Linked DNA regions of Cricetulus griseus. The protein of the gene in region 3 interacts with the protein of the main gene of each other region in a pairwise test. Links are inferred from orthologs where the notes say so. Each region holds a gene or a part of one and is shown on either strand. Other genes may lie near its edges.

The links.
Region 1: the proteins of Ndel1 (region 3) and Cep170 interact in a two-hybrid assay, tested with the Homo sapiens proteins (2 studies listed by BioGRID and IntAct). The link is inferred for Cricetulus griseus from reciprocal best matches to the Homo sapiens genes NDEL1 and CEP170.
Region 2: the proteins of Ndel1 (region 3) and kalirin interact in a two-hybrid assay, tested with the Homo sapiens proteins (2 studies listed by BioGRID and IntAct). The link is inferred for Cricetulus griseus from reciprocal best matches to the Homo sapiens genes NDEL1 and KALRN.
Region 4: the proteins of Ndel1 (region 3) and Cenpf interact in binary tests that used the Homo sapiens proteins (3 or more experiments, as listed by UniProt). The link is inferred for Cricetulus griseus from reciprocal best matches to the Homo sapiens genes NDEL1 and CENPF.
Region 5: the proteins of Ndel1 (region 3) and Ccser1 interact in binary tests that used the Homo sapiens proteins (3 or more experiments, as listed by UniProt). The link is inferred for Cricetulus griseus from reciprocal best matches to the Homo sapiens genes NDEL1 and CCSER1.
Region 6: the proteins of Ndel1 (region 3) and Mllt10 interact in a two-hybrid assay, tested with the Homo sapiens proteins (2 studies listed by BioGRID and IntAct). The link is inferred for Cricetulus griseus from reciprocal best matches to the Homo sapiens genes NDEL1 and MLLT10.
Region 7: the proteins of Ndel1 (region 3) and Mrc2 interact in a two-hybrid assay, tested with the Homo sapiens proteins (2 studies listed by BioGRID and IntAct). The link is inferred for Cricetulus griseus from reciprocal best matches to the Homo sapiens genes NDEL1 and MRC2.

The regions. Positions count from the first base shown.
Region 1 is NC_048598.1:16,976,103-16,980,374, forward strand, and holds the start of Cep170 (centrosomal protein of 170 kDa), read left to right. Parts: upstream 1-1,472; 5' UTR 1,473-1,660; intron 1,661-4,272. Other genes in the region: serologically defined colon cancer antigen 8, read right to left, coding at 507-573.
Region 2 is NC_048597.1:55,085,662-55,089,682, forward strand, and holds the start of kalirin, read left to right. Parts: upstream 1-1,221; coding exon 1,222-1,288; intron 1,289-4,021. UniProt on the Homo sapiens protein: Promotes the exchange of GDP by GTP. Activates specific Rho GTPase family members, thereby inducing various signaling mechanisms that regulate neuronal shape, growth, and plasticity, through their effects on the actin cytoskeleton.
Region 3 is NC_048600.1:82,734,308-82,737,807, forward strand, and holds part of Ndel1 (nuclear distribution protein nudE-like 1), read right to left. Parts: intron 1,993-3,500; 5' UTR 1,981-1,992; coding exon 1,895-1,980; intron 420-1,894; coding exon 266-419; intron 1-265. UniProt on the Homo sapiens protein: Required for organization of the cellular microtubule array and microtubule anchoring at the centrosome. May regulate microtubule organization at least in part by targeting the microtubule severing protein KATNA1 to the centrosome.
Region 4 is NC_048598.1:5,316,868-5,320,367, forward strand, and holds part of Cenpf (centromere protein F), read left to right. Parts: intron 1-447; coding exon 448-3,500. UniProt on the Homo sapiens protein: Required for kinetochore function and chromosome segregation in mitosis. Required for kinetochore localization of dynein, LIS1, NDE1 and NDEL1.
Region 5 is NC_048601.1:81,425,152-81,429,290, reverse strand, and holds the start of Ccser1 (serine-rich coiled-coil domain-containing protein 1), read left to right. Parts: upstream 1-1,339; coding exon 1,340-2,654; intron 2,655-4,139.
Region 6 is NC_048596.1:215,139,754-215,143,253, reverse strand, and holds part of Mllt10 (protein AF-10), read left to right. Parts: coding exon 1-40; intron 41-771; coding exon 772-868; intron 869-3,500. UniProt on the Homo sapiens protein: Probably involved in transcriptional regulation. In vitro or as fusion protein with KMT2A/MLL1 has transactivation activity. Binds to cruciform DNA.
Region 7 is NC_048600.1:118,268,829-118,272,914, reverse strand, and holds the start of Mrc2 (C-type mannose receptor 2), read right to left. Parts: upstream 2,801-4,086; coding exon 2,677-2,800; intron 1-2,676. UniProt on the Homo sapiens protein: May play a role as endocytotic lectin receptor displaying calcium-dependent lectin activity. Internalizes glycosylated ligands from the extracellular space for release in an endosomal compartment via clathrin-mediated endocytosis.

The DNA.
Region 1 (4,272 bases), on a different chromosome or scaffold from region 3:
GATTTCTTGACATGTAAAATGGGAACACTTGTAAGATAAAGTTTTAAATGCTTTGGCTATATGAAAATAACGTAGATAAACAAATATCGTATTATTTCAAATAATTGGTAGTTGTTTTTTTTTTTTTCTGGTCTAAGAAAGATTCAATGTACTAAACCAGAATTTGAATTGTGTAAAAAATATGAATGAGAAATTTATTGGGTTAAACATCTAAGTATAGTAACAGGGTAAAAGAGGCATAGAGATGCCCACAAGTTTGTACTGGCACTAGCTGACAGACACCTAAATCAAGATGTAGGTACCCTGTTGGGTCAGGTTACCAGAAAAAGAGCTAACAGCGTTGCTTAATCCTACAACCAAAATCAAACTATTTCATCCTTAAGATCAGAGCAACATCCGTCTTCTTTCTCCGCGGCCTGGCTGGTGCTCAAGGAAAGTGTTAGGAAAACCACCCACTACTGCCCAGGGTACCTAGGAGCTAGGCACTGAGATTCGGAGCAACTCACCCCGGAGACTCCGTTGGTATTGCCCCAGACTGTCCTCCAGGGTAGAGTTCCCTGGGGATTTCGCCATGGGGTCAGAGATGGGAGTTATGCGGGAAAGTGTCCAGTGCACCCCTCCGAGGACAGGCCTAGCGCTGGGGGTTGGGGGATGCCTGCCTGCTTCCTGTCGCGGCTGTCACTAGGGAGCCAGGAACCCTGGACCGATCTCCTGGGGGCTCTTCCTACTCCCTGGCCCTCATGGTGATCTTCGGGAGTTGTAGTTCGCAGGCTGAAAGCTTGCTACTTCGAGAGTCCTATGAGCCTTCCAGCAACACTACGATTCCCAGAGGGCTATGCGCTCAGGGCGCCACTCAGGCAGTTTAGCGGCCTGAGACGGTTGCCAAGAGACGGACTGGCAGGCCGCGCCCTTTCCCTCTGCCCAGCTTGGATTAGTTCTGCTCTCCTGCCATCCTCCAGCCACCTGGATCGACCCGCTGACAGAAGGGGCCCGGTGAAGGCCCCTCCAAAATGGGTCGTTGTGGAGTTGATCTCTAAGCCCGCTCAGGGATTCACTGTAAACTCTGTATAAGTTAGGATGTCTGTCAAAATCGTTTTTCTCTAGAAAATGAAGCAGAAAATCTTCCAAACAGCCAGATTGTGAAGGCGGCGGACACTACAACTCCTAGAATGCCCAGCGCCCCGCCCTCCGCGTGGAGTTGGCGCGCTGCCCGCTGGGAATCGTAGTCCGGGTTGGTTGCGGTCCTACTCCAGCCAGGCAGCTCTTCATTGTTCCAGCAGCGGGTCTGGAGGGCACGCCTGCGCAGTGGGCGGCCGGGCGAGCGTGTGGCTGAGACCCTCCTCAAAGCCCCCTTTCATTGTCTGGGTCTGGCGCCTGCGCAGTAAGGCATCGCCCGGCCCGGGGAAAAAGGAGGGAGAGGGTCTGGCTGCTTGCCCTTTGCGAGGCGCCTGCGCACTGGGCCGCCGCTCGCTGCCGTTCCCGCTATGTGTGGGGCGTGTGTGGAATAACGTTATTGCCCGGCGGAACCGAGGGGGCCCGAGCTCCGCGGCGGCGACGACGACTACGGCGACGGGGTGGGGGGAGGACAGCGTGGCAGAGACTGACGGGACGCGCCGCGCCGCGCCCCGCCTCCCGGTCCGGTCCCTCTCGGCGGTGAGGGGTAAGTGATGCGCTCGGGTTCGGAGCGGCCCGGGATTCTGCACATCCTCGTCCGCCGCCTCCTCCTCCTCCTCGGCTGCTGCGGCCGGGGTCGGGGCGCGGCCCGCGGGCCCGAGTGCGAGGGGCGCTGCCCGGGACGCTCCGCGCGGCCGCCGCCCTCCCTCCCCTCCCTCCCCCACGGGCTGCAGCCGGACGCCCCGGGCCGGCTTCCCTTCGGCGCGCCCCGCTGCTCTTCTGCTGGCCCCGGGCTTTGTGCGGCGGCCGCCAGAGGCGTCGGCAGTCGCTGCGGGCGGAGCGTCGAGGGAAGGGGCCGCTCGGCCGCTGGGGAAACGAGCTCTCCCGGGGCGCCCGTCCCTTTTATGTAGGGTTGGTTTCGGGGTGTGAGGCTGGTGGCGCGGGGTGCGGGGAGGTCGGACGACGGGACGAGCGAGCCTTCGGGTGGCGTCGCGAGGGCGTGGAAGACGCGCTGTCAGGCAGCCTGCCCCGCGCGACTGCACCCCACGTAGCCTCCGGCCCTGGTAGCAATCCCCGCGGGAGGAGCGAGTGGCTTCCCGTGGGCTTCATTGTCCCAAGATCCAGTTGTGGGGTTTGGATCTGGTTCCCTTCCGTTTTATTCGAGGGGGTAGGGTGGGGTGGGGGGAGAAACAGCAGCTGCGTGACACGGAAGGGAAGACAAGGAAATGTGTCCTAAGTCATATGATCTCTGTTTTCTGGTCTTGAGTAGTTTCACTGTTTTTTTTCTTCGTCTTCTTTTTTTTTTTACCCCCAAATACGAAGAAGACAGGCTATACCTGCTAGAGTCCGAGCCTGCCTAGGTGATCAATATAAAACTACTAGGTGACAATGAAGGCTGGGCTAGGTAGGGCCTAACAGCGAAGCTGTTGTTTAGCAGGGAAATGAACCAGCAGAATTATTTTTTTCCACTGGGTGGGTGATGCGTTCATGTTCCTAAGGGAATACATTAGGATACGCTGAAAGCAAACAAAACAAAACAAAAAAATAGGCCGGGTATATTTCAGTTTCTGAAATTGATTGGTTTCTATTAGGTTAATGAAAATTCACCCGCCGGAGAGGATTTTGTTGATGCAGACAATACATTTGGTTGAAAAGGCATCCTTTAAAATGATTCGAATCTTAAGCGGATGGTATTTGCAGTGCTACGCCAACCTTTCTGCTTAGAACAAGCATCTGATAGGATGAAGCAGGATGAGGCGGGGCAGGTGGAGGGATATGTGAGAGTTACATTATAAATATGTACTTAGCCTTCAGAGACCTAGGAATTCAGCACTGAGAAATAGCTAGTCTTTTTGCCACAGTTTTTATTTTTATTTTTTTAAAAATAAAGTCAGGGATGCTTTTAGTTCTAACTCTTGTAAGTGCTATAAAACTTTGGTGTCCTAAAACAAGACTTAAGTGGGCTTAACAGAAACTAAGACGAAGCTCACACTGGCAAAGTCGGGCCCCCTTGTCTGCCTCCCTGAAGCAATGGAAGGCAGAGCCCAACAAAACCAAGATCTGTACTGTTGTAGTGTGATCTCTCATATGTGTGCCCTAGTCCCCTGCCCTGCACAAATACATAGAACATTTTCTACATGCTCCTTGAGTGGTCTTTTTTCTTTTTAAAACCCTATTCTCAACAGTTGTATTAGTTTACTCCTTGTATTATAAATTATTAATTATACTGAAGTGGCCTTTTGAGTTACAGATTAAAGGAAGATGCCATAACATGTGCTTTTTGTAAAAACAGACTGGCTTCCCTACTTATTAATAACCTGACATCCAATAATATTTTACAGTGTGGTCAACTCTATAACCTGTGTTAAAAATAAAATTTACACACAAGAGCTTAATGATGTTTGTTTTTCTTTAATTTGTGAGTTATATTCTCAACTTGTACTAGAACTTACCTTTTGATAATATATTTTGGGAGGCTTATTTTGCTATAAAACGGGGCTTTTATTGAAATACAATTTTTGTTCTTTCTGCTTAAATTTAATGTTATTTTTAGAATGTATTGGATTTTAGCCAATTTTTTGTTTTGTTGGTTTGGGGAGGCAGGGTTCAAGACAGGGTTTCTCTGTGTAGCCATGGCTATACATGACTGTCCTGGAACTCCCTCTGTGTATTCCAGGCTGGACTAGAACTCAGAGATCCACTTGCCTCTGCCTCTCTGAGTGCTGGTGTCACAGGCATGTGCACCACCACCCAGCTTTGTTACTTGATTTTTTTAGAGACAGGGTTTCTCTGTATAGCTCCGACTGTTTTAGAACTTGCTCTGTATATAGGCTGGCTTCAAACTCAGAGATCCACCTGCCTGTTTCCTGAGTGCTGGGATAAAAGGTATTCGACACCGTGTTGGGCTTAGATTTCAGCCAGTTTTTTAAAAAAATTCATAATTAAATTCCATATGTGAGTTTTAGTCAGTAAAAATTTAAATATATTTTACTAATAAATTTCATGGTATCCTAAGATTATTTTAGCATTAGAATAATGAAGTTAGACATCAGGTGGTTTTTAAAATTCCGTGCTTAGTAATTTGTTTCACTTACTCATTTCTTTTTATTTACGGGGGGGGGGGGGGGGGGTCAAAACTCAGTTTTACCACTGCATCTG
Region 2 (4,021 bases), on a different chromosome or scaffold from region 3:
TCTCCTGCCATCCAGGAATCCCTTGCTCATTCAGTTAGTCAACAGTTCCTGGAATGCTTCTGAGATAAGACACTGTACCAGGCACTTTGGAGGACCCAAAAGTGATTAAGGAGCAGAGCTGACCATGTAACTGATGGTCCAGTAAGGGGAAAAGGTCACACACAAAAGAGGAAGTAGATTGCAAACGACATATAAAGGAGGGACGGTCGGGCAAGGCTGCCCGGATTCTGTGCCATTTGAGTCAGACATTAGAAAACTTAGGCTTTGACCCTGAGAAGGGGCATGGAGAGAAAGGGCTCTGGCAGGAGGTGCTGGATCAGAACAATGGGATAAGGTCACAGGGTGAGAGGTACAGGGAACCACAGTTCTAAGGGCAGGGGAGATTAGAGGGAACTTTTTGTCTGCCTCACTTGCCAGTGATCCTTTGAGCTGAGCCTCACAGTTCCTCTGTGAAGCAAATCCTGGTCTTTCCAGTTCATAGAGGAGGGAGCGGAAGTGGAAGGCCTGAAGTAGCTTGCTCAAGGCCAGAAAGTGTTAAGTAGGAACCGGAATTTGAACTTGAATGTAGCACCTCAGAGCCCGTGCTGCTATCTCCTGAATAGAATCTGTGAGGGGAAGGAGGAAGAAAGGACCAGCAAGCCCTTTTCTGGTCGTGGGGGTAGCAGTCTTAGATGGGTAGTACCTGAGGTGCCCATAGTGAGGCAGCCAGACTCCTGGACTTTTTGGACTGGTTCTAGAGTCCAGGAGGGTTGAGCATCTGGCTTCCCATTCATCATCCTATTGGAAGAGCTGCTGGCCTCTGTGTGGGAGGCACAGGAAGCCAGTATGGTAGGAGATACTAGAAGGAAATTTTAAACGTGGCCTTGTTTGTGGATTTTTATTCCCAAGGCTACCTCAAACGTTGCTACTGTGCAAGAGCCCTCCCTGACTCCCTCCCCCGCAACTTCAATCTCCCCTGGGGTCCATGCAAGGCTCAGTCTGCACACGACTGCTGCTGCGTTGTTCTGCACTTGCTCCTTTGTTGCTGTGAAACGGGCTCCCGGCACAGTCAGCCTCTGTGTGGGAGGACTGGTGGCTGTCTTTGTAGGCAGGCATTTGCTTAGAACAGGCTGCGTGTGAGCCCAACATCAGCGAATCTGGCCTTGAGTCGGTCGGTCAGTGGTGGTGGTGGGATGAGGCGCTGCCCTGGAGACTGGCTGTGAAGGATGAGTTCAGGGTGGGATGACGGACCGCTTCTGGGACCAGTGGTATCTTTGGTATCTCCGCTTACTTCGGCTGCTGGATCGAGGTATCCTGAGTGCGTATCTGGTCGTGTGTCTGTCTGTGTCTATGTATGTGTACAAGCATGTGTGAGAGAGAGGGACATAGACGTGGAGAAAGGGAAGTGGGGGAAAAAGAAAGAAGGCATGGAGCAACAGCAGGTAGCTATACACGGCAGATAAAAGAAAGGCTGCTTTTATGGGGACATGTGTGACCTAGCTGGGGATGGGGAGCACAGAGCCATTTGGGGAGCAGCTGTACAACACAATCACATTTCTTGCTGGGTTTTTCACCAGGCTCAGTGTTGTAGTCAGGCAACTTAAGCAGCATCCGAGAAGTGATGCAGAGAGGAGACTGGTCCCCGCAGTGGAAGCTGGGGCATACCTATGCAGACTCCAATCTCAGCCCAGCTCTGGGACCTTACATGGACTTGTGTGTTCATCTGAGCTTGTTTCCCCATGTGTGAAATGGGCATTCTGGGACCTATCATGCAGGAATTGTTTAACCCCTGCATGTAAAGCATACCATCATAGTCAGTGTGCACACTAGGTGCTTAGTAAATGAGTAGTTCTTCAGTGGCTGCATCCTGGAGCTACAGCACTTTTCCTGGGGACAGCTCCCTTTGTGGACGCTCTACAGACAGAGCCTGTGCAAAATTTGAGGTTATGAAAAGGAAGACGGACAGCTTGACTTCTCGAGTTACTCTGCCCTTAATTCATTTCACCCTCACTAATGCAATCACTAATGCAAACCCCCTGGTAGTAATATACAAGTCCGGACGGTAAAGAAAGGCCACCGTGAACTTTGTGTAGTAACTGGTTTATAAGATGTGGAATGTTGGCGTTTGAGAGCTTTGGCTCCTTTAAGAAGTTTTGGCAAGAGTGAGACAAAATCTTTGATGAAAGAGACGTCTTGGAAAAGCTCTGCTACCTACCCCAAATTGTATCACCCACCCTCAGTCAGGCGTAGTCTCCGGTACACCAGGAGGCAAATGCTGGAAGCAGAGCTGCCCTGAGCAGATGTACCAAGACCTTATCGGGGGAGAAATCAAAGATGGAGGAACCCAAACCAGCATACTCGGGAAGCAGGCTTTCGCTAACACTGAGAAACACCCATAGCAAGCCAGACTTGAAATGAAGATTGAGAAGGGAGCCAGAACTTTGTACTGATAGGGATCATAGATTGGGAAAGGGTAAGAAAACCACCTCTTTTCTGTGTGATCTCGGGCAAGTTATTACCCCTCAGTGTCTCTGTGCCTCCTTTCCTTCCACGGCGTAAAGAGAAGCCTATTGTAGTGGTGCTGATATAAGGGGCTGTTGTGGGTTAAGTGAGAGGCTGCAGATGAAATACCTATCCCAGTGCCTGTCAGGAACAAAATGCCCTTTGACTGTTAGGTCTGGTCAATAACACACCAGTTCCTGCTCTCCTGCAGGCACCCTGGGAGAGACAGGAACAGGTGGTTTGCAACAAGAGAACGTTTATATTTTTGTGAACAGAGGCCATGTTCAGATTATCAGATCATACCAATTTAAAGAAGAAAGGAGATGCTAAAATGTAATAATAATTTATTTTCAGTTTTCATAAAATGAGCTGCAAACTTGTTTCAGGCACTAGCTTCATTACTTTCTAAGGGTCCTTGAATAAATAGTCTATCCTTGGCTCATTAGTCTTGGCTCAAAAATGGAAAGATTAATAATACCTACACCATAGAGTTTGCAGGAAATGTGTTAGTTCCTGTAAAGCATCCCACAATAATGAATTTGTGGATTGATGGATCCCTTAGACAGCAGAAACTAGCTTCCAGAATTGTATGTTTGTGCATGCACATTTGGCCATAATGTGTAGGCTTCTGGTCATTCCCGTACACAGTATCTATAGGAGTTTCTTAACATGAAGATTCAGACTGTTTAGGGTATCTGATTTGAAGGCTGGAGTGGGTTGAACATTGTTCATGTCACTCAGTTTTAGTTGATGGACAATACAGTTTTATAAACAGTATGTCCACATGACATACTTGTATCCACGTTACAACAGAAGTTTGCGTAGAGCAAATATAGTGATGTTAGCCAGCGTTGCATAGGAAATGGTATGTTTTACAGATTGAGATAGCTCATGGGAAATGCTCAACAAATATTAGTTGGATGAATGAAATGAATTAATGAATTAGAGAATGACGAACCCGCCTCACAGAGCAGTGAACAAATTTCCCTCAGATCTCTAGGGAGACGGAATTTTAGCGCCTTTCATCTGTTTTAGGATTTTATCTTTCCCTTGTTATTGCTATGCCTTTTGTTGCCTTGAAAGTCTCAGGCTTCAGGAAGGCAAGGAGGGAATGATGAATTTAGCCCCAGAAATTGAAATGATGGACAGGCTGTGTTCTGGCCTGAGTTGTCTGTGTGTCTGTGACTGGAGGAGAAACACATCTGTGACTAGACACACTTAAAAGGGAGAACACATCAGAACACACTGTGAAGCAAAAATAAACTTTACAGAAAAATAACTGTGTATGCTTTCTTACTATAGACACATTTTTCACCTCCCCCATCATTGTTCAGCTAATAGTAAGACTTAAAAACCGAATATATTGTTTTCGAGAACTCAACTGTGTGGTATATACAAGGATTTATGTGATACCGAACTGTCAGCTCGCTCAGACATTGCATTTTGGTGATTTATTCTCATTAATAACGAATGCAGTTTTTACTGTGTGTGCTGCTGGGTATTTATCAACTCTACTGCCTGTGGTCTGGGCTTTCAGATG
Region 3 (3,500 bases):
TCTCATATTTTAAATATTACTAAATTTCATGTAGTGTATGTATATGCTCTTGCTACATCACATGTGTGAAAATCAGAAAACAATGTGAAGAAAAAGGTTCTCTTCTTCTACCATGTGGGACCCAGGAATCAAACTCAGGTTGTCAGGCTTAGTGACAAGTGCCTTTCCCCACCAAGCCATTTGTCTGGCCCTACATTTCTCATCTAATAAAAGTCAGTACACTAGTCAGTACTGCACCCAGGGAAGTAGGTTCTGCCACAGTTACCTTTAATGCCTCCACTTCATATTTCAGTCTTTGGTTATCAGCTTGCAGGTCTCTATTTCTTTGTTCAGCCTGTACTAACTGTGCCTCCAACTCTGCTTCTAATTCTCTGCTTCCTTCCTGGAATTCAACTAGCTCATCCCGAGCTTCCTGGAAGCTAAGCAGAAGCAAAATGAGAAAGATGAGTTAATAGTTGTGTACTCTCATATAATTACGTATCAATTCCATAATTTCTGACTAAAAATTAATGTTCTCATAAAATATTAAACAGTAAAGAAAATGCATTTCTTGCTCCACATATATTCAGCATTCAATAAAAAGTAGTTATATGCCCTCCCCACAAAAAATCCTACATAACTCAGTAATTCACAAACGTAGTTCTATGTGGCTCAAAACCACCATAAAACTGCAAGAGGAGGGGTGTGTATTTGTACTGAAGTAACTTCAACTGGGAATTAAGTTTGAATTCTAATTGCTAGAAATCAACACATACTCTCAAATCACAATGGCTGGTACAGATCTAAGCATCACTCGCTCATCACTAATTCAGAACCAGGAAGTTTTCTATGCTTCTCCATCTTTTTTACCTAATGTATGCACTAATACATTATTCTAATACTACAAACTAACTTAATATTTAGTTAATTTTTTCAATAACTGGTTTTCTCTATAATGCCATTACTTAATTTTCTGCATTTAAATGTATTCTAAGAAGGGGTTCACAGGCTCCCCTGCCTCTGAAGGAATCTGTAATGTTAGAACAAAGGAAGAACCTCTGTGGATACAGAGCATCTTCATCCCTTGGCCTGATACAACTACAAGGAAAGAACAATGGGATCTGATAAAGCTTAGCTAACTCTGTCAACCAAAGGAGGAAAATGTGCAAGTGTTCTAGTAAGATTTCAAAGGTAGACAGAAGGCTCAGTGGTTGAAAGCACTGGCTGCTCTTTCAGAGGACCAGAGTTCAATTCCCAACATCTACATGGCAGCTCACAACTATCTTTAACTTCAGTCCCAGGAGATTATAACGCCCTCTTCTAGTCTGTATGGTCACCAGACATGCACATGGTGCACAGACATACATGCATACACATACACATAAAATAAAAACAAATCTCAAATAAATATAAGATTTATTAAATAATAGGAATTTAGGATAAGTTTTAAGGCCAAAGAGCTATTTTCTTCCCAACTAAGTAAAATATTATTTTATAAAAGCAATTTTATAAAATGTTCCATAGCTTGGAAGCTCAGCTGCCTCCCAACACTAATAATGCATGCCCGAAAAGATAAAAGTCTGTTTTAAGCATCTCAAATGAGCCAATGATGAGGGAGCACCAGTACTCACACAGAAGGTCAAAAACAGCCCCAGACTAGTGACAAGGCACAGGAGGCAAGCAATCAGAAGAAATCATAGGTGGAACTAAAGCTTCCTGCTATTACAATTTGAAGAACATAAAGACTGGTGGTAGCTTTATACTATTTAAATACAAATATTGTTATGACTATGAAATCAAAATCCTAAAGCTGAAACTCTAAATTTAGCCTTATACTCCCAAAAGAAAAAAATATGCAAGCTATACATGGCATATTCCAAATCCGACCCCTATTTTAATAGTTTTTAAACACTACCTTTGCTTATACTTCAAGGAAAGTTCCTTCCAATAAGCAGTTTCTTCCTTTAAACTTGAAAAGTCTGGTATATCTTCACCATCCATGATCAAGAAAGCCTGTGGCAGTAAAGACAAAGAACCCAAAATATAAGTGAAAGCATGGCACTCATTTGGTAGTTTCAAAGGTTCTAGGAGTTGCTGGAACTTTCCTAAAACTTAAGCACACATCCTACCTCACTCAGGGACAACCAACATTATGGATGAGGTTATAACAGCATATGACATCAACAGGGTCAGAAGGAATGAGGCATTTTCAAATACAGCACTGGGTTCTACGTAATTCAGCAGTTTATGGCCAACTGGTCTTCAGGGAATCCAATGACAGAAACAAACAACTGTCAGAGAATTTGCCACTCCACATGCTTCCCTGATGTGTAACAGCTTTAAAACACCTGCAACAGGTCTGGGGTGTAGATCAGCTGTTTAAGTGTTTGCCTAGGTTTGACCTCTAGCAACACCTGAAATCTCAGCACTGAGAATTGGAGGCAGGTCATTCTCAGCAACACAGAAAGATCAGGGTCAGCCTGGGTTACATGAGACCCTGTCTCAAAAAGAAGTGGGGAGAAAGGGGGAAGGGGGAAAGGGAGACAGAGGGAGAGAAGGAAGGAAGCAAGCTGCTTAGAACCCTCATGCCAAGTGAAACAACTTACTACATCAGGCAAGACCCACATTCTCAAATCATTTTTTTTTTTGGGGGGGGGGGTCAAGACAGGGTTTCTCTGTGGCTTTGGAGGCTGTCCTGGAACTAGCTCTTGTAGACCAGGCTGGTCTCGAACTCACAGAGATCCACCTGCCTCTGCCTCCTTAGTGTCAAATCTTATTTTTGAAAACATCCTCAGTCATCCTTCAATCCAACTTTACTCCAAAGGTCACTCATCTCCAACTGCAATAATCTTTGTCTCAGTTCTTCCCCACAAGGTATTCACAGAGGAAGGGACCTAGTTAGTTGCTCTTGCCATTTCAACTGGCTAAAACTCCCAAATGATCATAGAACAGATTAACACCACCAAGATGTTCCAGATTCCTGCCACATCTTTCCTACAGTCTCCTCTTTACTTCTGCCCCAGCACCACATCCACACAGCAGATACACAGTAATGTCTACCTAAATAGATTTCAATGTGTGCCAGCAAGTAAGGACTGAAGAACAATCTAAAACCAACTAAGAAAGCCTTGGAAATGCAGAGAACTCAGAGTTCATCTTAACAATTCACTTATGTTTACCAAGAACTCAGCCAGAGACCACAGCACATACAGAGCTCCAGATCCAAATGTGTACACAAGTGAGGCATGAGCGTGATGTCTAGTGGGGATAGAACTAAAAATAACATGATATTCTCAGCTTAATTCTTTTGAGGCACAGTGCCAATTTTTCCTTAACCAAGTCTTTGCTGATCATACTATCTATTATTATCTTGACATCTAATTAGTAAATCTTCCAGTTATCTTAAACTCCCAATCACCCTGAAAGCTCTTTCTAAAAGACAGATTCTTGACACACCTTGTATTCCTTCATGGCACTGAGTACAACAGATTTCTCAGAGAAGGCACCTAATGCTCCAATCA
Region 4 (3,500 bases), on a different chromosome or scaffold from region 3:
CTCAATACACTTACTAAGGAGGGATTGGAATGTGGGTGACATTCTTGCTCACAAATAACATACTTTTTTTAAAAAAAGAAGTAATTCTAAATACCCTGTAAACTCTTAATACATCAATTTTTATTAAGCTACCTAAGAGATTATCAAATATATTACTATACTAAAATGGCCATTTTTCTCTCTGTCTTTATATAAACTTAGATCATAAGGTCATGAGATGAGCTATTTTCAAGAACACCAGCATTAGTGTCAAGTTTTACAGGACTGGAGAGTATTAATTTCATTGCTTTTTTAGTTTAGAGTTTAAAATTTTAGAAGCCATAGACTAGACATGCTAGGCATCTTTCCCACTGAATTACACCCTGATGCTAGAATATAATATTCTGATGAAAATAGGTATTTGTTATAAACATTGATAACTTTGTGTTCATTTGTTTGTTTTAATAGCTAAGAATACCTCTCAGGAAATCATGTTGAGAGAGCTCCAGGAAAAACTAAATCAGCAAGAGAACTCACTAATATTAGAGAAACTAAAACTTGCCTTAGCTGATCTGGAAGGGCAGAGAGACTGTTCACAAGACCTGTTGAAAAAAAGGGAGCATCACATTGAACAACTGAATGATAAGTTAAATAAAATAGAGAAGGAGTTTGAAGCTTTGCTGAGTGCTTTGGAGTTAAAAAAGAAAGAGTGTGAAGAGTTGGAAGAAGAGAAAACTCAGTTTTCTTGTTGGAAAAGTGAAAATGAAAAACTTATAAATCAGATAGAATCAGAAAAAGAAAGCTTACAGAGTAAAATCAACCACTTAGAAGCCAGTCTCAGGACGCAACAAATACAAAGTCATGACTACAGTGAAAGAGTAAGAACACTGGAAATGGAAAGAGAAAACCTTAATGTGGAGATTAGAAACCTCCACAGTATGATAGACAGCAAGATGGTAGAGATCGAGACACAGAAACAAGCCTACTTGGAGCTGCAGCAGAAAGCTGAGTTCTCAGATCAGAAGCATCAGAAGGAAATAGAAAATATGTGCTTGAAAGCTAATGAGCTCACTGGGCAAGTCGAAGATTTGGAATATAAGCTTCAGTTACTGTCAAGTGAAGTAGTAACCAAAGAGCAGCAGTACCAAGGCTTGCGTACTGAATATGAAACGCTGAGGGATTTGCTCAAGTCCAGAGGTTCTCTGGTGACAAATGAGGATAATCAGAGAAGTTCTTTGGCTTTTGAACAGCAGCCGACAGTGAGTGACTCCTTTGGAAATCTAATGGGGGAACAAGGAAGCATGTATTCAGAAAGGAGTGACTGCTTTGTAGATGGGGACCAAACTTCAGAAAATCTATCTGTCTTACAAAATAGAGTCACTTCACTTGAAAGTTCCCTGGAGTCTCAAAACCAGATGAACTCGGATCTTCAAAAGCAGTGTGAAGAGTTGCTACAAATCAAAGAAGAAATAGAAGAAAACCTCATTAAAGCAGAACAGATTCATCAGAATTTTGTGGATGAAACAAACCAACGCATTGGTAAATTGCAGGAAGATTCTGCAGTTCATCAAAATATTGTTGCTGAAACTTTAGCAACCCTTGAGAGTAAGGAAAAAGAGTTGCAACTTTTGAAAGAAAAATTAGAAGCTGATCAAACAGAGATTCAAGAATTAAAGAAGAGTAACTGCCTTCTTGAAGAAACTCTGAAGGAGCTACAACTTTCGTCTGAAACTTTGAGCTCAGAGAAGAAAGAAATGAGTGACATCATCTCTTTAAACAAAAAAGACATTGAAGAGTTAACCCAAGAAAATGGGGCTCTCAAAGAAGTTAATGAGGCCTTATGGCAGGAGAAAATGAATTTACTCCAAAAACATGAGGAGATTTCCAGATGTGTTGCAGAACAAGAGAGAAGCATTTCAGAGTTGTCTGATCAGTATAAGCAAGAAAGACATCTGTTGTTACAACGATGTGAAGAAACAGAAACTGTGTTGGAAGATCTCAGGGGTAACTACAAAACAGCACAAGAAAACAATGCTAGGTTAGAATGTTTGCTCAGTGAATGCACTGCTGCTTGTGAGAATAGGAAAAATGAACTGGAGCAGTTAAAGGAAGCATTTGCAAAGGAACAGCAAGAATTTTTAACAAAACTAGCTTTCAGTGAAGAGCAAAACAGGAAATTGATGCTGAAGTTGGAGATAGAGCAACAAACTGTGAAATCTAAGATTACAGACACCAAAATCTATTCTAAGAGTGAGACTGATGGTCTAAGGCAAGAGACTTTAAAGGAAGAGCAAAATAAAAAGGAAAAGGAAGTTAGCAACTTACATGAGAACGAGCAACTAATGCAGTTAACTCAGACTAAACATGAGCATTATCATCTTGAAGTAGAATCAGTTGAGAACTCTGTAAAAGCAACAGAAGATGAGATAAATATGTGTAGTTCCCAGTGTCAGATGGATATTGACACTAAAGACATTTCTCCCGACAGTTACAAAGCACAGTTGGTACAACTAGAAGCTTTGATTAAAGTTATGGAAGTAAAGCTTGATCAAAGTGAGGAGGAGAAAAAAACCCTGCATCAGGAATTACAAACAATTAGAGGGGAGCTAGAAACTGTGAGTTCACAGGACACTCAGTCACATGAAAGGATTGGCCTTAAAGACTGTGAAATAGAAGCAGAAGGAAAGTATGTGTCAGTGCTCCATGAGTTGTCAACAAGTCAAAATGAGAATGCACACTTGCAGTGCTCTCTACAGACAGCATTGAATGAACTAACTGAGCTAGGGAAAGTGTGTGAAGTACTGAAGGTTGAAAAGTTAAAACTACAGTCTGAGCTGAATGACTCTAGATCACAGTGTATTACAGCAACTAGTAAAATGGCAGCAGAGGTTGAGAAGTTAGTGAATGAAGTGAAAATCCTAAACCATGAAGGTGTTCTTCCTCAGAGCAAGCTAATGAAAGATGTGTCAGATGTGTTGCATGATAAACGAAACATGACTCCTTTGGACAGTAGCGGTTTCTGTGAACAAATAACCTTGTCAGACAAAGAAGTTCCAGTGCACTTTGCTGAGTTACAGGAAAAATTTTCCTGTTTACAAAATGAACACAAAATTTTACATGATCAGCACTGTGAGGTGAGCTCCAAGATGTCAGAGCTGTGTTCCTATGTTGACACATTACAAGCTGAAAATTCTGTCTTGTCAGTGAATCTGAGAAACTTGAAGGGTGACTTGGTAAAAGAGAGGAAGCCTGGAGCTGAGAATGGACATACTCTGTCAGTGTCGTTCTGTGGCACAGACAGCCCTAGTCTGACAAATTTTGGAGAAGCTTTGTACAAAGATGTTTTAGAACAAACTGACAACACATCTCTTCTAAGCTTAGAAGGGAATGCTTCAGCAAACCCTTGTAATGTAGATGACGTGTCTTACAGCAGTCTTGAGGAGGAAAATCTGACTGAGAAAGAAATTCCTGCTGCCTCTGTGAGGACTATTGAAGAACTTGAAATCCTATGTCAGGTGTAC
Region 5 (4,139 bases), on a different chromosome or scaffold from region 3:
GAAGGAAGGCAGGAATGAAGAAAGAAACAACTTAGTGGAAAACGGGTTTACTTTTAGTGCACAAATTCATCATTATTGGGAAGTCAAAGTAGGAACTTGAAGGAGCTACTCTTAGCCATGCTGCCATCAAGAGCAGATGGAGAAAGAATGCTTACGTGTATATATTAAGCTCATCAGGGTTCCAGCCCAGCACTACAAGACAAGGCAATCAGAAATATAATAATTAGTGAGATCTTTTATCAAACCAAAACAGGAGGCAACTGTGCTATCTCATGAAAGTCTGTGTTAAACAGCAATTCCAGAACAGGAAGTCTGAATGTATAAGTTGAAATAAGACTAACAATCTCGGCAGTGGGTGCATGCCAGCAGCTCTTTGCTTTCACTCCAGAGAATGCCGAATATTTTGTATGCAGTAAGGACCATAAGCTAGCCTTGGGGTAGAGAAAGCTTGGTTCTTATTCTCGTTTGCTTCATTAGCTGGTGACATTATTGTTACCTTTCTTCGTGCCATAAAATACCTACTTGCAGAGTTTTAACGAAAAGAGATCATCTCCAAGAAATCCTTTGTGCATCAAAAAGGATTGTAGCAGCCACCTTTCCATTCCCTCCTCTATCTTCTTCACCACTGGCACCCAGGTGCACCAACATAAATATGGCTATAAGGGTCCTGGGTTTCGGAATGACTCGATGGTACTCTCGAGATTACCAACACTCTGAGCTTTGCATCAGGTCTTTCCGTTAGCCCATGGTCTACTTCCTTCATGTGTAACTCTCTATATATCTTTAGTCAGTAGTCTGATTATCCCTAAGCTTCCTGTGTCAGAAACCATCCATAAGAATATGCTCCAATTGGTTTTTCATGAGTGCAGATATTAGTGCCTGGCTTGCCACTGTCTGCTCTGTGTTTCTGTTAAGGTGCCTAGATTACCCATTAAGCCACATGCTATGAAGCATGGCTGTGTCTAAATATAAAAAGTTAATATTTAATAATGTACCAGAATTTAACAGAAGACTGGCCAGGTCTTAAATAATTATTATTATTTTGTGTTTTCCAACCCAGAATTCTTTTTAATAGACTAAGTATTTGTGGTAATCTTGAAATTTTTGATTTATAGTAAGATTTTGATACAAGTTTGTGGATGATTTTTTTTTCTATTTTCTTAAATCCCGATTTTGGCATACTATTATTGTAGTAAAAACAAATTTTCATTCTTTGTCTTGAAAAACTACTCTGTTTACTGGGTCCTGGTCAAGATTGAATTTTATTGACTTGCTTTCTTTGTTTTATCTTTTCCCAGGCTGCTAAATTGGCTATCGCAGTGTAAGCCTCAGGGTTCCAATGGGGGACTCAGGATCAAGACGATGTACCCTGGTCTCCCGGTTGCCAATATTCAGGAAAAGTATTAGCAGAAGACATGACTCTCTCCCGTCTTCACCCTCTTCGAGTAACACAGCTGGTGTCCACAGCTCCTCTCCTTCCAGCACTAACTCCAGCTCAGGGAGCATGGGGAAACGCAGGAGCATATTCCGAGCTCCCTCCATCAGCTTCCACCACAAGAAGGGGAGTGAACCTAAGCCAGAACCCACCGACCAGAACCTTAGTATTTCCAATGGTGCTCAACCCAGTCACAGCAATATGCAGAAACTAAGTTTGGAGGAACAAGTCAAAACCAGGGGAAGACATTCTGTGGGTTTTAGTAGTTCGCGAAGCAAGAAGATAACAAGATCTCTGACGGAAGATTTTGAAAGGGAAAAGGAACCTTCCACCAATAAGAACGTCTTTATAAATTGTCTAAGTTCTGGCAGAAGTGAAGGGGACGATTCTGGATTCACAGAAGAACAAACTCGCCGTTCTCTTAAACAGTCAACAAAGAAGCTTCTCCCCAAATCCTTTTCATCTCATTCCAAATTTTCTAAGTCGGTTCCACAGAGCCAATCCAAGTCATTGGTACAGCAGCCTGAGTTCTCCCTGGCGATCTCACAGTACCAGGAGCGAGAACCGGCCTTAGGAAGACCTTCCCCTTCTTGCTCCGCAGATGGAACAGAGCACGCAGGAAGTTCCTTACAGTCCCCTATGCTTTCCACAGACCTGACCACAGCTCAGACCCCTTCAGAATTCTTGGCCTTGACTGAAGACTCTTTGTCTGAAGCAGATGCCTTTCCTAAAAGTGGAAGCATGGCATCGCACTGCGACAACTTTGGTCACAATGATGCTACCTCTCAGCCCACCCCTGGTCTCACAGCTGTCACAAAGACAGCAATGGAATTTGTGGGGACTGTGCCCTGTATGATGATGTCTCCTGGGAGGTACAGGTTAGATGGCCGGTATGGCAACGAATTGCATTCTTTACCAGAGACCTCTGCTGCAAACCAGGGGGCAGCTTTGATGCAAAGCACTGGGCCCCTTGTTAGGAATGTGAGTGACCCAGAGACCCACCTTCCAGCTGGTCATCAAACAGAAGAGAAACCTGCTTCTGAACCAATGCCAAGGACCAGCTCGCCCAGGACACTGGGCTCCTATGACCAGCACAAGGCGCTGGCTGAACGAATTAAAGGGGTCCACCCTGTTTCGGATTCAAGGGTAATCCCTTCATCGGGGGATCACCATGTTTTTAACAAAACATCCTATGGATATGACGCAAGTGCTGCCAAAGGTATGCAGACTTTCCACGTGCAAAAATGATGTAAATTAATTTTCCTTATTATTTGATCAATTATTTTTACTCCATATCTTGAGTGGGGGCACCTTTGAATTTATAATTACTGTTAAATGTTTGCTTTGATTGATTTTAAACTTGTTGTGATGGAGATGTAAGTCTGTGATACTCATTTTTCTTAGCTGTATTATTTATGTTATTCTGACCTGAGAAGAAAGTGGAAGGAAGGCAACTCTACTTGGAATATGACTGTCATAGTGTTGCTACTTGCTACTTAATGAAATGGAGGCATTTCAGTCAATTTTTTTCATAAAGGAAATTGTGCAATTTCAATTCTGTTTCCTGTGCCCCCACCACCCCCCCCCCCCGAGATAGGGTTTCTCTGAGGCTTTGGAGGCTGTCCTGGAACTAGCTCTTGTAGACCAGGCTGGTTTCAAACTCACAGAGATCCACCTGCCTCTACCTCCTGAGTGCTGGGATTAAAGGTGTGCGACACCAACACTCAGCTCTGTTTCCTGTGTTAACAAAGCTCTATTAACTAGGATCTATATTTTGATATAAATAAATTCTGTCTGTCAAAATAAAAGTATAGTCCTTTGAGTTAGAAAGCCTGCCAAGTTCAAAACCTACCTCAACATAACTATGTAGCTTTAAATTTTAAATGCTTTTACCTTGGTCGTTGCATGAGTGTGTATAAAGAGTGTGTGTGTGTGAATTATTTCACTTTGGTTTCCAGAAAATACTCAAAGGAACTGTTGAGTGTCTCCCCACTCACTTGCCTCTTTCCCATGCTCTATTTTAGTATTTTCTCTGTGTCATTAACATGGCTGCTAGCAATAACTGTCTCAATGTTGAAAATGGTGCTTAGGTATCCAGAGATAATGTGTGGTCTTTGTAAGTGATAAATGAAAATGGTCTCACTTGTTCTTCTAATTGTTAACTCTTTCTTAAGCAAGTGGACTGTGGGCAGGGAAGATGTATACTCTTCCCGTGTCCCAGAGCAGATGATTGATGGGCACAAGCTCTGTTTGGCTTTTTGTGCTTCAGATTTTGCAGACTGGGAAACAAGCCACTGTGTAGCAGTGAGGAGGTTAGCATGGTGTAAAGTTCAGAGTCTTACACTATATTATATGAATGATATAAAATATCAAATAAAGTTAAAAATAAATCAAATGACATATTATCATATCAAAAATCATTAAGACAGCTGTTGAGCTGGTCCCCTTAGAACACAACAGTTTTGTAGTCTAAATACATAAGTTTCTTGTGAGCACATCTGGTATAGGACAGGCTGACCCTAACTCCCCACGAAACCCATGCTGGCCTTGACCTAGCAAATGCCTGAGTGATGGAATGGCCAGTATGATACAAGACAGATTTGCTTATGTGACTGCTGTTAGTCTTCAGAAGGGATGAAGCCAACTGTGACTGTAAGCGCAGAAATTTTCCCGAGGTAGAGAACCTTTGAATCATTCTAAGATT
Region 6 (3,500 bases), on a different chromosome or scaffold from region 3:
ACGCAGCACATCCAATGCCGGCCGCTGCACTGACTAACAGGTAAGAAACTTACAATTTCAGTAGAGTTTAGTTTTTCTTGTTTTATTTTCCGTGCCTCATGTCAGTGTTGTCCTTGTTCTGGGTTAGGATTTTTAATGAATTTTGTAGACGTTCTGTAGGAAGAATAGCTGCCCAAACTCATTGAGTAAGTGAGTATTTGGTACTCATAGTTTTTTTTTTTTCCTTATTAAACTCATTGAGTAAGTGAGTATTTGGTACTCATAGTATTTTTTTTTTCTTATTAGACTGATAAAATTCAGTTCAATATCAGTTTCAGTAACATAATGTTAAAATACATTCTGTGTAGAAAATGTCAGTCCCGATCTGTGGTATCTGTTTTTAAATGTTAGTTTTTCTTCATCCTTCTTTCAGCATGTGTGTATCTTACTCTGCAAAGACATTATTGTGACAGTCATGTGATACTGGTTCTGCAAGATTTAGGAGCACAGTTTTGATATTCTCTAATCAGAGATTTTGATGAAGTAAGGGATAGGTGATTATTACATATGCTTTATTGCAAACACATAAATTGTGTTTCTTAAGTTTGTGCCTATTTAACTTGACAGTGCATTCCTTTTTAGTTGCATACACATGTATAGGCAAAAAGAATAATTTGTACATAATGAAGTGTCTTTGATAAAACTGAGTTCGTTAAATACCTACTGAAGGGACTGCCTTTCGTATCACCTGAAAAGGCTGCAGTAGAAGTAAGGATTGCAATGGTTTTTCAGTGCCTCGGGACTTGGATTACTGTCCGACCAACAGAGACAAATGTTTATCCAGCAGCAGCAATTCCAGCAGCTGTTAAACTCCCAGCAGCTCACACCGGTAAGTTCTCTGTTTTGAAAGTGTGTGTGTGTGTGTGTGTGTGTGTGTGTGTGTGTGTGTGTGTGTGTGTGTGTGTCTGTTGTTGTAGACTAATAAATGTTGATTATGGTGTAGGCTCCTCCATTGTGAATATGTATCCATAAAGTTGTCCTGCCCTTTGATTGTTTTACAAATGTTAGAACATGTATTGCGGTGCTAACTAAGCTCTGGGGATTGGAATTTGAGCAGTATTTTCCTGGTAGTTCACTTTAAGTGATGGTAGTAAGGGACGCAAGTGAGATGTGATGAGGGCATCAAATGGTCCAAGGATAAAGTAAGGTGAGGGCCAATTTATTTCTTTTGTGGTAATGGGAGGAGAACCCAGGGCCTCACATGATAGGTTGGCCTGACTAGCATTCTACCATGGCATTCCATCACCAGTTCCAGTTTGAGATAGGCTTGTCCAGTCTTCTTGGGAGATGGCATTTGAACCATTCTGTCACATAGCTCTAATAGTTAAATCAGTTGTGCTGATCTTGCTTCATTCATGCCCTAGTTTTCTTTCTTTCTTTTAAAGGATTCATCGGAGAATGTTGAACTTGAACAATGATTAATGATAGTGATCAAGGGTTTTTAGAAAGGGTTTTGGGAGGGAAGCAAGATGTGCTCAATAGTAGAAATGGGAATCACTAGCAGGACAGTTGGTATCCTGATGTAGTGCCATCTCTGGTTAGGTAACTGTAGAATTGTAGTATGTTTGAATGATAATCAAAAAGCAAAAGAGGAACACTGAACAGTTGGATGTTGACCTTTACAGACATACAGAGGAACCAAAGGGAAATAGTTTTCCTGAGAAATAGTATTTCTATTATCACGTTCAGTTCATCCTCCCGACCCATCTGTTAATTCCTTTATCTGCAAATCAAAAATAGCAAAAAATGTGCATTTGTACTGGATTACAACACTGTGTAACTATTTATTATTTTCATTATTTTCTTTGTATTTGTAACTATTTATATATTTTCATTGTGTCCTGGTAATGATTTTAAAGTATATGGGAGAGTATACAAGCTAAATACAGACACTATGCCCTGTGTGTGTGTGTGTGTGTGTGTGTGTGTGTGTGTGTGTGTGTGTGTGTGTGTGTGTGTGTGCGTGCTAGGATATTCATATGTATCACTGGTTTGCTTTGAATTCATGTCCTCCAGCCTCAGTCCCCTCAAGTGCTGGGATTTCAGGCATCTCAGCAACTTAGCTTTAACTGTGTCCTAAAAATGTAAGATGAAGTATTCTTCTGATAGTGTATGGGATAGGGTAGCACACACCTATAATTCTGGCACTTGGGAGTTGAAGGCCATACTAACTATATGAGACTGTCTCAAAAAGCCAAAACCTCAGCCTCTTGTTTGCCTTCTATCACCACTGCCATTTGTCCCTGCATGGGAGGTAATAGACTGGTAAGTCGAGTCATTGTCCTGTGACATCGTGACTTACCAGTCACATACGGGCAGTTGGTCTTCTCTCCACCTGCTATGACGTCACGGTCCTACCTAGCTAGTCCTTTTTTGTTTCCCATTTGGGCTTCAAGCTCTTTTCTTCAGCCTTCTTACCTAAAAGTTGAGTTCAGCAATGTCCTTCACTCTCAGATGTTTGTTTCAGTTTGGTCCATGTATAGTTGCCTTCATCTTCAGATTAGAATTCTGTCCAGAGCATCCCACTTTGGATCCCCCACTTACCACATAGCGCACTTGACATGAAGGGCATTTAAACATGTCCCAGCCTGAGCTACCATGCTTGACTGCTCTCCTTTTCCCAACTCCATCCTTTTAGGTGCCTAAGTCAAAACTTGTAGTCTATCTTTCTTTCCTTTTTTTGTTTTTTAACTACATACTACAGTGACTTCATTTACTAGGTGTAGTAGCACACAGCTTTAATTTGAGCATCAGGGACAGAGGTAGGCACCCTGCATAATGAGACCATGTCTGGTCCCACTCCCGAAAGAAAGAAAGGAAGGAAGCTGCCTCCTCTGCTCAAAACTTTCTCTTGACTTTCCAGCTTCCCTCTCATGGTCTAGGTGGGAGCCATGTGCTCTTTCCCCTGCTTACCTGCCTGCCATTGGGCTCTTGTGGGTCCAGAATCTTTGTGCACAAGCTCTCCCTGAGATCCTGGAAATGCCCTCCTTCCTGCTTATCCTCTTTGCTAATGCGGTACCCTCCAAGTCTTTGTCCTGTGTTGACAGAGTAGTTGAATGACTACTTACTGCATTCTCATGGACTTTGTCTACTCTTAGCAATAATCACACTGTATCATTCTTTCTCATTCCCTAGGCAGGCAGGCAACTACCACCATGTATCCCAAATAGCTAATACAGTGCCTATTAGTCAGCACCCAGGAAATCTATCTTGAAAGGAATTTATGCTTGCTGAAAAGAAGAATCCAGAAGTGCAGCAAGAAAACACTTGCTAGGAGTAGAATATTCATTTGGAATATTTCTGTCAGGGCCCCTCCTTGAGAGGCATCTATCTGTCTGGTCCGGCAGACTTATCGGACCGGTGCTTGGAAGGAGGTGTGTGAGTTGAGGAGAGAATTAGACAAGAAGAGTCAGGAGGGAACATCCAGTGACTACTGTGATAATCAGCCCCAAGTTTATTAC
Region 7 (4,086 bases), about 36 Mb from region 3:
TAGTAAGAAAGCATCAGCACTTCAGGCAGCTGCAAGTGGAGCCTTCCAGGCACCTGGCCAGTTTCCATCAACCTTTCCTTCAGGAACCCAGGAAGCCTCCCCATAATTCAGCAGCAGCCGTCTCCTTCGTGGCCTGCTCTCTCTCCCTTCTGGCCTCCCCACTCTCCCCAGACAGCCTTTCCTCCTTGGACCACTCTCTCCTCTGTCTGTAGTCATCAAGCATCCCTGGTCCTAGCCTTTCAGTTACTAGATGTGCCCAAAATAAATCATCAGACTCCCCTTAAGACTCCATTTTGCACTCTGCAAAATGGGTCCAATGATACCTAGCTCTTTGGGTTATCATCAGAGCTAAAGGAGAAACTGGACTTAACAGGGCTTCCAGGCTGAGAGAGGGCCCTCACCAACTGAGCCTTCACCTAACACTAACGGTTCAACCTGTGTCATTCTGGAAGATTTCCTTCCTTTTCTCTAAGGACACCTTTTAACTCTTGTAAAGCATGTGGCTTGGTGCTGCATACATGGAGAATGGACCAGTATTGCAGTAACAACACGCTTTACCTGAGGAAGTAAAGATGAATTCTGCCATCCTATGTCCAGAACTCCTACAGCCCTGTCACCTCTGACCTCCAAGAGAGCTGCAGTATCTCTGCAGTCCTGAGCCCACTGGACTTCCTGCTGGTGATCAGGCAGCTACAAAGCCGCAGCCCCTCCCCCAGGGGGCCTTTCACCCCAGCAATAGCCTGCCAGGCAAATCCTACCTACTTCCCACAAGCATTTCCTGGGGCCACGGTTTCCCTAGCCAGTGGCCGCCTCTCATATCAGGCTCACAGCGGCAAGAGCCCATAGGGCCTGCACCAGCCTCCCATATGGAAGTTGGGTGCTCCTGCCCCCACCTGCCAACTTCCAGGATTCACCTGACACTTGTGTGCACTGAGAGGGGAGTTGTGTGATGCTGCCCTCCTGTTCAGTTGCTTCAGTGGAGGCTCCTCACCCCAGCTGCCTTAGCCCAGGCCTGGCATGGGTAATCCAGACAATGCAACCACCCAGGCTATGGGTATTTCATGTGTAGGACAGACAACCTGAGAGTGAGCGCAGGAAGAGACAGAAGCAAAGATCAGGAGGCACGGGGACACTGTAGGCCTCCTTTTCCTCCCTAACTGGGCCCCTCATCAGGCACCTCCACCCCCCTGTCAAAAGCTCTCTGGAGGAAAAGACCTAGTCAGCCGTCTGGCCCAGCTCTTTCCCAGGGCCTGGCTTTAAAACCCAGGCTAGGGCTCTTGGAATGGCCATCCTTTCCCTCCCTCGAATCCAGCAGTGCCCTGTTCTTTAAGGTGGAGAAGACCAGGAGTAAGGGACAGGCCTCCGAGTCTGCTTCCTGTCTGTCTAAGCTTCAGGTCCTTATGTGACTTGGGTCACCCCAACCCTTCCTTTCCTTTTAGTAGATGCCCACAGCACACCAGGCCACTGTGAAAGGCCTCAGACTCTCCAGCCCCCCGCCCCCCAGCACAAAGCTGCAGTCCCATCCCTTTCCACTCACCCCAGCCCCCAGTGAAACATAAAAGGGGTTTGTGGAGGCAGCACCCAGCGCTTTATTTTTTACTTCTGAAAATCCTCTCAGGGAGGAATATCTACCCCACCAATATTCGGTGTCTTGGTGAGAGACCTGTCTGACCTCACATTTCAGTCTCTTCTTGGAAAAAGAAGAAGAAAAAGAAGGAGAAGGAGGAGGAGAAGAAGAGGAGGAGGAGGAGGATGAGGAGGAGGAGGAGGAGGAAGAATCAGCAGAAAAGAGAAGGGGGGCTTGTATGATTGGTTTTTTGTGGGCTGTGGTTTTGCATCTTTAGAAACTCTTTTGCAGCTTAAGATTGTCCACTCTGGAGAAGTGCCAGTTTAGTTAGAATTGCTCACACAAAGTGAGAGCACGAACACACACACACAGGCGCACACACAGAGATGCACACACACTCGGCCCTCTGACATAAAACTGTACCACAGGATTCCATTCGAACACTACAGAAGTTGTATGCCACAAGCCGTCCTTGAAGACCAAGAAAGAAAATATAAAGACCCTGCCAGACGCTGCACAGGCGCCTGACCCTCACGTACGGAGTGTGAAACAACGCGCCTCTGGCTCTCCGGGTGCATCCCACCCACCAAACCGGACCAGCTCGGGGCGGGCGCCGGGGGTCGCCCGGACGCGAGTCGTCGCCAGCCCTCCATCTCCCTCCCTCTCCCTCCCAGGCCTCAGTGCCCAGGATCCCCTCCCCCGCCGCCTGCCACATCTGGTTCCACTCAGGTCCTCCCCCACCTCCAGGCGCGCTCCTCCTCCCATCTCCTCCCTCGCTCCCAGAAAAGCGGAGGCGATTTTTAAAAACCCAGACACACACACACACACACACACACACACACACACACACACACACACACACACACACACACACACACACACGCCCGCACACTCGCGCACACACACACGCACACACACGCACACTCGCGCACACACACACGCACACACACGCACACTCGCACGCACGCACACACACACACACACACACACTTACACCTACCTCCAGAAAATAAGGGAGTCAAAAAAAAAAAAAAAAAGAGGATAAAATCAAGAGGCCCCACTTCCCCTCGGGCCCGCCCCCGAAGTTGGCCAAGTTGGCAGCGCCTTACCCGGGAGGGCGGCGGGGACGGCGGCGGCGTCCCCCGGGTGGCCGAGATGCAGTCCCCCGAGAATCAAGAAGCAGCGCAGCAGGTGACGAGGCCAGGGCTCGAGGGCAGGTCGGATGGGCCCCATCTCTGCGGCGCTCGGAGGACCGGGGGCGCACGGCCGGGCTGCGCGCAGTGGCGCACTGATGCTGGGCTCGGATGACCGCCGGCGAGGGGTCGGGACGATGTGATGCCTCCCGGAGAGGAGGAGGGAGGAGGCAGGCCCCGAGGAGGGAGGGCGGAGGGAGGAGCGCCGAACCCAGGAGGAGGGTTTGAGGGGTAGAGGGGAAGGGAAGTGGGCAGCGTGGGAGGGGAAGGAGGAGTTGCGGGGACGCGGGGCTGGGGACCCGGCCGCAGGGGCCGCGCTTCAGGAGGGAGAGAAGGGGATGGCAGGAGAGGAGGATCAGCGCGGTCCACAAGGACCGTCCCCAGCGTGCGCTCTTTTATCTTCCTCCACTCTGCTCCTTAATTCTTTCCCGCCTCGTCTTCCCTCTCTTTTCAGCCGGGGCCTGGAGCCCCAGACGCTGCGTCACAGCTTCTCCTGCTGGCGCGGGCAGCAAAGCAACTGCAAAACTTTCCGCAGAACTTCACCGCGTGGCGAGACCTGGGCTGCTGCGAGGCCTGGCCAGCCGAGGACCGGGACGCGCGACTGACTCAAGTGGCCAGACCTGGGCCGCCAGCACCCTCTCCATCCTGCCTCTTCTGCCTGTATTTAGCCGCTAACCCCAGCTATTTTCTTTCCAAAGAGGACCCCCTCCCCTAGTCTGGTAGGGAAGAGGAGGAGCCCAGAACTCCGCCACCCGCGCAGAGGTTGGGGGAGGGGAGGGCTCCTGTTGTTTGGGAGCAGTGCAGACAATTCTTGATCGTCATGTTTCAGCATGTGTGTGACTCCTGTTTCGGTGTCCTTGGCACAAAGTGTGCAACACTTGAGTTAATTGGAGTCCCGAATCCAGAGACCTGGGACAAAAAAAGGTCCACTGGATGTCTTAGAAGACCGACATCATTCCCACCAGCTGGGGTGCTGGCCGGTAGCAAAGAACAAAATGGAAATTTCAAGAAGACAATCCAGTTACTTAGTATTACGCAACAGGTCAGATGGCAGCACAGAGCACTGGACTGAGAGTCTGGATTTTGAAAGGCAGCCCACACCTACCCCCGATTTCCCAAACAGTTTTGGAAGAGTTGCTTGGGGCAGGGTTAAGACAGCACGAAGAAGCCTCAGCTTCTCCCATCACAAGTGATCAAAACACTGTAAAACTGTAATATGTTTTATTGTTTCCTGAACTCCCCACTACGGGGCTTTTTTGGAAATAACAAGTGTGACTTTTTATTACTCCTGCTGTGGGTAATCTTTCCCTATCTCTGCAATATGGC